Mus musculus: one gene and its partners. The protein of the gene in region 1 purifies or fractionates together with the protein of each later gene. This does not show direct contact. Links are inferred from orthologs where the notes say so. Each region holds a gene or a part of one and is shown in the gene's direction. Other genes may lie near its edges.

Evidence for each region.
Region 2: the proteins of Prdx1 (region 1) and Prdx5 fractionate together in Homo sapiens (co-fractionation; 3 studies listed by BioGRID). This does not show direct contact. The link is inferred for Mus musculus from reciprocal best matches to the Homo sapiens genes PRDX1 and PRDX5.
Region 3: the proteins of Prdx1 (region 1) and Txn1 purify together in Homo sapiens (affinity purification with western blotting; 3 studies listed by BioGRID, with this or other methods). This does not show direct contact. The link is inferred for Mus musculus from reciprocal best matches to the Homo sapiens genes PRDX1 and TXN.

The regions. Positions count from the first base shown.
Region 1 is NC_000070.6:116,684,280-116,688,470, forward strand, and holds the start of Prdx1 (peroxiredoxin-1), read left to right. Parts: upstream 1-1,319; 5' UTR 1,320-1,381; exon of another isoform or gene 1,382-1,559; intron 1,560-1,657; exon of another isoform or gene 1,658-1,743; intron 1,744-3,127; 5' UTR 3,128-3,138; coding exon 3,139-3,244; intron 3,245-4,191. UniProt on the Homo sapiens protein: Thiol-specific peroxidase that catalyzes the reduction of hydrogen peroxide and organic hydroperoxides to water and alcohols, respectively.
Region 2 is NC_000085.6:6,907,233-6,911,376, reverse strand, and holds the start of Prdx5 (peroxiredoxin-5, mitochondrial isoform 1 precursor), read left to right. Parts: upstream 1-1,270; 5' UTR 1,271-1,759; coding exon 1,760-1,918; intron 1,919-3,260; coding exon 3,261-3,395; intron 3,396-3,703; coding exon 3,704-3,835; intron 3,836-4,096; coding exon 4,097-4,135; intron 4,136-4,144. Other genes in the region: Trmt112 (multifunctional methyltransferase subunit TRM112-like protein), read right to left, coding at 518-625, 704-793, 913-1,014, 1,115-1,192. UniProt on the Homo sapiens protein: Thiol-specific peroxidase that catalyzes the reduction of hydrogen peroxide and organic hydroperoxides to water and alcohols, respectively.
Region 3 is NC_000070.6:57,949,844-57,953,465, reverse strand, and holds part of Txn1 (thioredoxin), read left to right. Parts: intron 1-1,564; coding exon 1,565-1,669; intron 1,670-2,567; coding exon 2,568-2,627; intron 2,628-3,622. UniProt on the Homo sapiens protein: Participates in various redox reactions through the reversible oxidation of its active center dithiol to a disulfide and catalyzes dithiol-disulfide exchange reactions.

The DNA.
Region 1 (4,191 bases):
CGGCCTAATAAAATCTTCTAACTGTTGTGTTTCCATGTCTGCCCCATCCTTATAGCATGACTTTCTAGAGGGTAAAGTTTGGATTATATCCATCTCTGGGTTCCTAAATCACACAAAGCATGTGATATGAAATGGGAACTCTGAGCTTTGTATCTATCCGGCTTCCCCTCCCCTCCCCCAAGGTCTCTATGTTGTCCTTGCTGTCCTGGAACTTGCTATGTAGACCAGGATGGACTAAAAAACACAGAGGTTCTCTTGCCTCTACCTTCCCAGTGCTGGCCATCAAGCCTGACCCCTCTTTAACTCTCTTGACTTTTTTTTTTTTTTTTTTTTTGGAGGCAGGATTTCTCTGTGTAGCTCTGGCTTTCCTGGAACTCGCATTGAATTGAGACCAGGCTGGCCTCGAACTCAGAGCTCCATTAGTCTCTGCCTCTAGAGTGCTAAGAAGATGTGCCATCACTGCCTGGCTTGGAACAGTGACTTTTAACTCAGGAAATTGACCACAGAGCCCCAGTTTTTAAAACCACAAATCAGTTTAGTGACAGGCTGAGATTCAGAAAGATTTAAGAATAATGCAAGAAATGGGTGTGAAACAGAAAAGCAGTATCCAGTAATCAGAGACCAATGGAGGCTGCCCTCAGTGGTGAGGGTTAATGAGGACCAGACTAGAACAGGAGTTTTGTTTTTGTTCTTAACGATTTATTTCTTTTCATTTTCTGTGCATTGGTGTTTTGCTTGCATGTATGTGTGAGGGTGTTGGATCCTCTAGAACTGGATCTACACAGTTATGAGCTGCCATGTGGGTGCTGGAAATTGAGGCTGGGTCCTCTGGTAGTGCAGCCAGGGCTTATAACGGCTGAGCCAGCTTTTCCAGCCCTAGAATAGGTTTGTGAGGCTGGGGTGCGACTGAGAAATATTTGGGTGCACAGTTTCCCCTGAACGTGGTTTAATTTTAGACGTGGCCTTCCAAGAGCAGTAAAACAGACCCTTCTTCTAGTTTGGGTCTTGATTGCACAGCACACAGTGGTCCTGGGAATAAAGAGAGGCACGGATTACCCGGGTACCCCGATTAAACGAGGAAATGACTCAAAGGGCAGTGCTTTTCTACCTCTGGGAACAGCATCACTGAAAGTGTGAGCGTTTCCCCCTGGAGACCCCCTCCACTCCAGGCCCATCCAGGGAAAGCGCTGAGTCATCCCCCGTAGGCCGGCCAGGGTGGGGCGGGGCTCAGCCAGGTCCCCCTCTTCCCGCACCCCCGGCCCGTGAGAATCTCGCGAGAACTTTGTAGGCTATAAAAGCAGCTCCCCGCGCGCGCTGTCGGGCGACCTCTTCCTGCGTTCTCACGGCTCTTTCTGTTTGTGAGACCTGTGGCTCGACCCTGGTGAGTGTGCGGGTATCGCCGCTGAGAAACGCGGCTCGCGCCCATCACTGGTTCCTTCTCCCTCTGGCCGGTCCCGGCTCGTCCCGGGCGATCACGGGCTGAAGCGGCAGGGCGAGGCCTGGTCCCGCGAGTGCTGGAGCTCTACTCGCATTCTTCACGTGGCGCTTAGTTCCCGGACCTGTTGGAACCCTGAGGCTAACGTTCAGTTTCCTCCTCTCCCGCTCACCGATAGAGGGCGGAGATGGCTTGGTGGGACGAGTTTGTGCTGGAACTTACCGCGCGCACTGGGCTGTGTCGTTGTGTTTTCTGATGTGCTATAGTGGGTGATGGCGTGAGTGGTAGGAACGTAACCTCCAGCGAGCTTGGGGCGTGACCTTCTCCGGCGTTCTAGTCCGATTCCTACGGAGACTTCTCAGCGGCCGGAAGTCGCTTTTCCGGGATTGGTTGAGTTTGGAAATGCTGGGCCACGTTGCAAAGCAAGTTTGATTAAAAGATGGTTTATGTTAGGGGGCACACCAGATAGGTAGTTGCTATGCTGCAGGTGCAGCATGTCCCTGAAAAAAAACAGTTAAAAGTTTTTTAAAGTTTGCGATGAAAGATGCTTTTTTTCTTGGCGTTTCTTTTGGTTATTGGTATTATGAACCAAGAAATTTGGAACTTGGATTCCAACTTGCACTCATACTGAGAGGCGTAAATTTTCTTTTAGATTGTGGGTTTTTTTTTAATGTGTATGTCTACCTGTGTGGTAAACACCCCCCCCCCCCCGAGCTAGTTACAGGTGGTTGTGAACCCATCCTAAGTGGGTGGAGGAATCTGAACCAGGACTTTTCCGGAAAGGAGCAGTGTAGGCTCTTAAATTGTTGCGCCATCGCTGAAGCTCCTAATGTTGTACATCTTAACAATTTATTTGTCTTGGTGTTGACCTGGGTCGATAGTGCAGAAATCGGTTTCTTAGCAGTACATTGACTCTTTTTGTATTTTTCTTAGAGTATCTTGGAAATAGGTTGGCCTCTAATTTGGCTAGCCTTGAACTCCTGAATCTTAAGCTTCTACTTCCCAAGTGTTGAGATTACACATCCCAAGTTTTTTTCTTTTAAACATTTGTGTGTGTGAACCTTGTAGAAGTCGGCTTTCCATCCTTATGGGCATTCTGGAGATGGAACTACGGTCATCAGATAGCAATTACCTTAACCTGCGTAACCTCCCTCATACAGAAATTGAGACAAGTGTTCCCTCGGTTCAGTATCCTCCTCCCTCAGCATGCAGAGTGCTGGGATGATGCTCCACTGTCCCTGGGTTAAACCTAAAGAACGTTTTAAGACACGGTTACTAAATCTAGGTTGGCCTCAAACAAGTTATGCAGAGAAAACTTAAGCTTAAACAGAACACCTAAAGATCTGAAGCAATAAATGCCAGTGTCCTGGCATTGATGTGCTTGGGATTTTTGTGTCTGTTCCATTTCCTTCCCGTTTCTCCCTAATGAATATGCAGAATAAAATGCCATTGCAAAAACTGGCTTAGAAAGGGTGGGAGAGCTGACCTATTTAGACACACTGTGGAGCTGTTAGCAAGTGAAAACAAAGGCTGATTTTTCAGTCTCAATTTTACCCTGGAGTTGGAGCTTTGGGTTGGGACCCTTAACTGTGAGCCTGTGTTCTGATTGAGCTACAGTTAAGTTCCTAGGTAGGTGAAAGCTGTTGCTTATTTAGAAGAATAGGGTTTACTTTTTTTTGTTGTCTTTTCCAGCTGATAGCAAGATGTCTTCAGGAAATGCAAAAATTGGGTATCCTGCTCCCAACTTCAAAGCTACAGCTGTTATGCCAGATGGACAATTCAAAGATATCAGCCTAAGTGAATACAAAGGTAAGATTAAAGAGGCCACTTCACATGTCTTTAGGTTGAAGTGAAGTCAAGGTTAGGACAGTGATAACAAGGGTAGATATCCTAGGTATGAGTCATTTCTAGAGAAAGTATGCTTTATTATACCTTAACATTTATCTGATTACCTTTTTTAGTGGCATTTATTTATTGGGGGAATTCTTTTTTTTTTTTTTTTAAGTTTTATTTATTTATTATATATAAGTACACTGTAGCTGTCTTCAGACACTCCAGAAGAGGGAGTCAGATCTCGTTACGGATGTAGTTGCTTGCTGGGATTTGAACTCTGGACCTTTGGAAGAGCAGTCGGTGCTCTTAAGGGCTGAGCCATCTCTCTAGCCCTTTCCCTTTTCTTTTTTCACTGTAATTAAAAAAGTTTTCTTTAAGATAGGATCTTTATGTAGTTCTGGCTGTCCTGAAGCTCACTATGTAGATCAGGCTGGCCTTGAACTCAAAGACATCCTCCTGCCTCTACCTCCCTAGTGCTAAGATTAAAGCTTGCACAATCTTGTCCCCCTTTGTTTTGGTCAGTTCTTGCTCGCTCTCATCATTTGTTTATTTGAGCTGTCTTACTATCTATTCCCTTGGCTTTCTAAATATGTAGACCATGGTTGTATCTAACTCCTAGAGATAGATACAACCTGCCTTTGCTTTTCCCTTCCTCTTTTTTTTGTTTTGTTTTTTGAGACAGGGTTTCTCTGTATAGCTCTGGCTGTCCTGGAACTCACTTTGTAGACCAGGCTGGCCTCGAACTCAGAAATCTGCCTGCCTCTGCGTCCCGAGTGCTGGGATTAAAGGCATGTGCCACCACGCTTGGTGTTAAAACATTTTTTAATCTTATGTGTATGGTGGGTTTTTTTCTTTTCCTGAATGTGTGTCTGAGCATCATGTACATATGGTACATGAGGAGGGCATTGGATCCCCTGGGACTG
Region 2 (4,144 bases), on another chromosome or scaffold:
CTGCTGCTTAATCCGATCTCCTCTCCGGAGCAGAGGGGGGCTTGGAAAGCAAAGGCCCCGTCCCTTCGCTCCTCTCCTCATCCGCATTGGGCATTATTGCCCCCCCTTGAAGCAATAACTCCAAGCAGGCTCCAGCCCCTGGACCCCAGGGGTGGCCAGGGCCCCCTATCAGCTCCCACCTCAAGGGGTGGGGGACAGCACTGCCTCTATGCCCTGCAGAGCAATAACACTATATTTATTTTTGGGTTTGGCCAGGGAGGCGCAGGGCCATGGGGCAAGCCAGGGCCCAGAGCCCTTGGCTGTACAGAGACTCTATTTTAATGTATATTTGCTGCAAAGAGAAACCGCTTTTGGTTTTGAACCTTTAATGAGAAAAAAAATATACTATGGAGCTCAAGTACACGGTGGTCGGTGAGTCACTGGGGGGAGTTTGGGGGTCACACATGACACGTCTATTTAACAGACCGTACAACAGAAACACACAGTCAACAAAATACCAAAGTGGCGGCTAGCAAGGTTACGTCTCAGTCTCCTCATCATTCAACAGCATATTGGGGATCCCGCGGCTGATGGGGAAAAGACGACCAGATTCTGGGCATTGCAGGGTGCCCTCCAGTACATCAACCTGCAGGGGAGCAGGACAAAGCTAAGCACCGGTAGCCTCAGTGGGAGGTCTGGGCAGGCGATGCCCAAGGATTCTCACCTCAAGCAACACGTGGTGCATCTTCCTCAAAAATGTCTCGTCGTGCTCATAGCCTTCAGTCGGCTCTTTGGGTACCTCGGCCAAGTTTAACTGTGGAAAGGAAGCGTACGTGGTCAGTGGGCACACGAACACCGAGGCCGTCCGGGCAGGGAAGAGGCTCAGAGCCTGAGCCCGCCCCCAAGGGGCGACAGAAGGGGCGGGGTCCTTACGGTGTCCGCTGCCTGCACAAGCGCCGCCCACTCCACTTTGGGGATCATCCGCGCCACGAACTCCGGGTTGAACTCCACGGGGTTGATGCGGACCTCAGTGGCCTGCGGGGGGGGGGGGGCGGTAAAAAGGTTTAGCGAGGTAGGTCCGGGTCCCGGAGGCTCCACCCTGAACTATATGGGCGATGAACCCTTGTGCAGTTACCTGCAGGCGCAGCGGGAAGCCACGCGTGCCCACGCCCCGCACATGGGAGCTTAGGAGATTGTGGGTGAGCAGTTTCATGTTGTCACAGCGGAGCGCGTGAGGCCGGAACCGGAAGGAGTCCACACTTCTCCTTTCTACCACTTCCGCTTTGAAGCCGTTGAACTCTTCGCCGGACCGGAAGTGGCCGACTTAGGGGACCTTTTGGGGGGCTTGGCGGCAGCCGAGATCGGAAGGACTGTGTTGGGTCACGTCCTGGTACCGGAAGCGTTTCTCGGGGAGACTGCAAAGGCTTACGCCGAATCCCGCTCGCTGAAGAGAGTACACACTATGCAAGTCACGTGTAAACCGGCTGCGTTACGGCGCAGGTAAAACGAACACATTTGAGGCTCAGCCAGATCATCCCCGACCTCTGTTTGCGGCTATGGGTCACGAACTGTCACGTCGGTAAACCAGGCACCTCTTTCTGCGATTGAAGAAGGTGTGCGAGCCCTGAGAGCCCCGCCGCGTCGTAGTGCGTCACGGCCCTGCCCCTCTAAGCCGGCGCTGTGGCTGCGACGTGGGACGTGCGGCGTGGGCGGAGCTGTCCCTGCATCCACCTCCTGTGGGCAGAGCCATCTGCGGGTGGGCTGCGGCAGCGGGGCGGGTATGCTACAGCTGGGGCTTCGAGTCCTGGGCTGCAAAGCCAGTTCTGTGCTCCGTGCATCGACGTGCTTGGCAGGCAGAGCAGGCCGGAAAGAAGCAGGTTGGGAGTGTGGCGGAGCCCGCAGCTTCAGCAGCTCCGCGGTGACCATGGCCCCGATCAAGGTGACCGGTTTTACCTTTCCTGGGTCCAGCCTATCGCGTCTCTTTGGGTTCCACGCGGGGTCTCGGGCTGTCCTCCTTGACGTTTCTTCTTGTCATGTTTTTTGTAAGACCCTGTCTCTGCTTCTCCGTCCTGGGACATTTCTTGAGCTGCCCTCTCACATCTATGCCACGTCCAGGGACAAGTCCCCACCATTTTCAAGCGACCGAATGCTATGTCATTTCCCACATTCTTAAAATGCCTCTTTTGCCGCTTGGCAGCTTTTCCAACCCTTTCCCCAAAGCCCCAGCACTTTTGTGATTGTACTAAACTCCATTTCATCTCATCTTTTGAAAGAGCCATGGTCCCTTGGGGACCTGGGTTGATCTTTTCCACTTCTGTTTCCACTCTATGTATGCTCACCCCGATCCCGCCCTTCTGTTTGATCTTTCTGGGAATTCTTGAACCTATCCCCTCTCCTGTTTTTGGACTTAATTTTTAGAGAAAGAGAGAGGGAGGGAGAGAGGAAGGGAGGGATGGAGGGAGGGAAGGAAGGGGGGGGGCACACAGAGACAGAGGTTGACTTACTATATAGTCTTGGCTGGCCAGGAACTTGGTGTGTAGACCAGACTGGCCTCAAACTCCTAGAGATCTGTCTGACTCTGCGTCCCGAATGTTAGGATTAAAGGCCCTTTATAAAAAGAAGAAAAAAGAAAAACTTTTAAACATGTACTTAGTGTGTGTGTTTGGTAACAGGCATGTGAGTGTGGTGGTCAGAGGACAATTTTCTCAGGAGTCAGTTCTATCTACCATGTCGCTTGTGGGGCTAGAGCTCAGTTGACCAGGCTTGGTGGTGGGCACCTTTACCTACCCACCTCAGCCTTCCTTTCCTCTTGTGGCTCTGAAAGCCCCCAGGTGGGCTGACACTTCCCACCGACCCCAAGAGCCTACATCCTGAACATTTTGGCTTACATAGCTAACCTGGTTTTCCAAAGTGTTTCTCCTGGTGTGTGGATAGGATTTTTCTTCCTGCCTGTTACCAGGCGGTTTCTCAACCCCAAACATAGCCCTCTGTACCCCTCCTCTGTGCATTGACCCATCTTGGGTGGCTTGTTTATACAGTATTGCAACACTTGAGAAGGCCTCTCCCTTTCTCTGTTGCCACCAACTGGCCTTAAGCAGAATCAGTCATGTAGGATGTGGGGCAGGCAGGACATACAGGAGAGCGAGGACAGAAATGGACCCCTGAACCGCCAGGCACTTTTTCTGCTGGGTGTGAGCACTGGCTCCATCAAGGTCTATCTGTGTGGCTGTGGTTCACTAGTCTCTCTTCACTCTGTTTTACCCTGGAGTCTTTTTCTCCAGGTGGGAGATGCCATTCCCTCAGTGGAGGTATTTGAAGGGGAACCGGGAAAGAAGGTGAACTTGGCAGAGCTGTTCAAGGGCAAGAAAGGTGTTTTGTTTGGAGTCCCTGGGGCATTTACACCTGGCTGTTCTAAGGTGAGACTTCTCCTTTCGAGAATCAGAAACTGGGGACCAGGAGTGTGGGAGAAAAGAACCCACATTAAATCTGATAGCTCTGATTGACGCTGGTGGTGGAAGCCCTTGGGACTCGGGCTAATGAGACAAAAGATTTGCCTATGGTCTTGACCATACACCCTTAGGTCCAAGCTTCCTAGTAGCCAAGGCAAAAAGGAAGTGGCCAGTTTCACACTGGTTTCCTTACCCTGGTCAGGGATGTTAGGAAATAGGGGGAGCAGGCTGAGCAACTGCAGTTGCTCTCCTTTGACCTTTTGTTTTCCTCTCAGACCCACCTGCCTGGGTTTGTGGAGCAAGCTGGAGCTCTGAAGGCCAAGGGAGCGCAGGTGGTGGCCTGTCTGAGCGTTAATGACGTCTTTGTGATTGAAGAGTGGGGTCGAGCCCACCAGGCAGAAGGCAAGGTGAGGTGTGGGGCCCGTGAGGGGGACGGGGCCAGGTAGGAAGTTTCCTTGTTTTTGTGACATGTTATTTACTCATTTTGTGTGTGGGGTGGGCACTTGTGCCATCATGCACGAGTGGAAGTCGAGGCTAACCTGTGAGACCTGAGTCTCTCTTACCAGGTGGGGTCGTGGGGACTGAGCTCAGGTTGCCAGACTTGGCAGCAAGCACCTTCACTCACCGAGCCCTCTCACTCCTTGTGACATTTATTCTCTTTTCTGCAGGTTCGGCTCCTGGCTGACCCCACTGGAGCCTTTGGGAAGGTGAGTGTG
Region 3 (3,622 bases), about 59 Mb from region 1:
TCTGATACCCTCTTCTGGCTTCTTAGGACACCAGGCACACAAGTGATGTACATAAATACATGCAGACATAAACACTGATACTCATAAATAAATAAATGCAAATATAAGAAACAGTAAATATAAATTAAAATTAAAGTAAGTATACCCCCATGAAAATGCATTAGGTTTTAACTAGGGGTGTGTGTGTGGTTATAAGATATTTACTTTCCTTTGTTGGACCAGATATAATATTCTTAATTTGTCTTAGTTTTTGCTAAATAATTTGACCAGCATTTTTCCCAGAAGGAAATGTTGGCTTCAGATACAACTTGTGTGTGTTGCTTTGATTCACTTTGTTGCCCCGGTTTGGGTTTTGGTCACTCTCCATGACTAATGGTGGTTTGAATGAGTCCCTGGTGACTAGACTGTTAGGTTCCTAGGGTTACAGTCTCAAGGCTTTTAGTAAATAATTCAGAGAGGTTGGCAGTGAGGGTTTGTTTTTTTTTTTTTTTAATCATTTTTGCTGGGGATTTCATATGACAGAATAATTCCTTCTTGAGAAACCAAAACTTGGATTCATGTAAAGAACAGAGTTTTGATCCATAGGGCAAAAGCCAAAGGTGGATAAACCAGAAAGATCCCAACTCTATAGGCCCTGGTTAAAGCACACAGAAGGGGCTGGAGTGCTGGCGTGGTGGTTAAGAGACCCTCAGGCAGTACCCACTACCCATGGCTCCAGCTCTAGGGGGGATCCCAAGACCCCTCTCGGCACCAGCAGATACACACACAAATTAAATCTTAACACAGCAACACACAGGACATTATGCTAGTGATGAGCTGAGTAGGAGACTGCTCTCCTGGACTCTGCCTTGGGGTCAGAGGTTTTCCCATGTTTTACTCTAGACAAATACGGTAAGTGTTGCCTTCATTTGACCCTTGGTTAAGTAACTTGTGACTTCCCCATTGCTTAACTGTGTCTTCTTGTGGAGCTTCTTCAGTTTTTGAGGCTCCTTTCACCAACCCCCTAAGAATCCACTATCTATCACAGAACTGATTTTAAAGGGTAAACATTTTTACCACAAATGCCTATTTCCCTTTCTTGTATTTAGTGTAAATGTTGGTTATGTGCTAAGGATGTAACTCAGAGGCAGGTGCCAGGCCCTGGGTCCATACACCACCTCAGGTTAGGCAGTTCGTAATATCTTATACATATTCCTGAAGACTTGAAGACCAATACACTCTGCTTATATCACCTGATCAAGTATAATAATGCCAACTGTGTGCAGGATTCCTTTCAGGCCACTTTATGTGGTTGCTTTGGATTAAAAGATAGGCCCGAAGAGCCGAACCTCATCTTTTGTACTTAATATCTCTTTGTTGCTGATTTGCATGTTTGCTTGGGTCTTTTTGGAGGATATGGGGGAGGGGGGGTCCTCACTGACTGGCCTGGAACTGGCCACTGTGGTAGACCATGTTGGCCTCCAGCGTGAGTGCTGGGTTTAAAGGCGTGGTGGCACCTGGCCACATCTCACGGAAAGTGAAAGTATATGATGTGTAACACAGGTGTTTCTTTCTCCCTCTGCAGGAAGCTTTTCAGGAGGCCCTGGCCGCCGCGGGAGACAAGCTTGTCGTGGTGGACTTCTCTGCTACGTGGTGTGGACCTTGCAAAATGATCAAGCCCTTCTTCCATGTGAGTGGAGTAGCAGTGAGCTTTGAGGCTGGGTGGTAGACCCAAGCCAGAGAAAAGGATTGAAATTAATGGGTGCGAGGAGTTTGCTGTTTGCTTTATTTTATTCTCCTGTGTCATTGGCTTAAAAGTAGTACTAGCATGGAAACTTACGTAATATAGTTCATTGAGGACAACTTTGGGGAGTTTTGTTGTCTTAAATAATTTTGTCCCCTGCCCCAGGATCTCCCCCCCCCCTTCCCTGATTTGATACCTGGGCCTAGTGTGAAATTCGGCCTTCAAAGTTACAGTGCCGAATTACTTTACTCTTAGGAACACTTGACTGAGAGACAGCTGTGTCCCTGGCGCTTGCTTCATCTCTAGGCTGAATTTTTAGACCTGGCTAGTGAGATTGCTCAGTGGGGGAAAAAAAAGACACATGGCTCACCCTGCCAGCCTGAGGATCTGAGTTTGATCCTCAAAACCCACCCTGGAAAGACAGAACCAGTTCCCAGAGGTTGCTCTCGGACTTCCACATGCACCTGTACACATTTACATCAATAATAATGCAATAATAAATAAAATAAGTTCTTTCAAAATAAGTGTATGGAGCTGGAGAGATGGCTCAGTGGTTAAAAGCACTGGCTGCTCTTGCAGGGGACTTTGGTTTGGTTCCCAGCACCCAAATGGGAGAGTCACAACCTTCTATAACTCTTGTGGGGTGTTCAGCGCCCTCTTCTGGCCTTTGCAGGCGCCAGGCACACCCATGGTGTACAGACATACATGTAACCAAACCACCCGTATGCATAAGCTAAAATTAAATAAATGTTTAATCTCTGTTACATTTCCTTTGAAGACGCTTAACTATGTTGAATGCTATTATCCAGTTCTAACGCTTCTTGGTTTGTTTGAATGTTTCCAGTCCCTCTGTGACAAGTATTCCAATGTGGTGTTCCTTGAAGTGGATGTGGATGACTGCCAGGTACGTAGTACGAAATCGGATGCTACCAAACACCTTCACAGTGGCCTCCACTGGAGTCTACCCTGTTGTTTAAAATAAAAACGTCCAGTAATACTAGAAGTGGGACTCTAAGAAGTTCTATTTCGGAAGAATAGGGCGTGTGCCAGTTATGGGTGTGGTCCTAGACACTCAGAGAGCTGTGTTTGCACATCTAGAGTAAGCATCTCACCACTCGCAGCCTGTGGGGGCCTTTGGGGCCTATATTCTACATCCCCCCGCCCCCAGATGATCACTGGAAATAAGTTCACTTTGGCTCTAAGAGATAGTAGACTAGGTGGCATCGTGGAATTGTGAGGCCACTGTTGAGGTGCTCTGAACTTCTCGTGTGTGGGAACTGTATCCACGGGCTCTTTCTAAAAAGAATATTGTTATTCGTATGCTTGGTCTGAATCGGTGAGAAAGCCCTGGCATTACAACAAACATTAGAGTCACCCTGGTGCCTTAGAGAGCTGGGGGGAACTTAAGGGGAAACTCACAGCCTGGCTTTATTTAGCAAGTTCATGCCTGTTGTGCACTCAGCTCTGTTCTGTATACTTTCCACATTCTGATATCGTTCCTCTCCCGTTCCCCATGCTGCCCTGCTTTAGGGATGGGAAAGCTGAGACAGAGAAGACTTGTTCTTGCAGAGCCAGTATTTAAAATGAGGAAGCATACCTCCTCTGCCCTTGGCTCTTACTCTCCCCAGCTTCTTAGCATATGCCCTTTGCTCTCACACAGGCCACTGGGCTGGAAAGGCCTGTGTGGTATGGAGCACCAGGGCCCCGAGGAAGGATGCGTGAGTGCTTTTACTTGCCCTGGGACAGAAAGAAGTTAGCGAATGGGGTGGCCGCAAAGGTATTGGTCTCACTGGGTTCTGCTTTAAGCTAATCTCCCATCTTTTTCAACCCTGGTTCTCAGTCTATAATGAGATCTCTGTACCTAGCCATCAGCTTGGCAAAAGTTCGGGAGGGTCACAT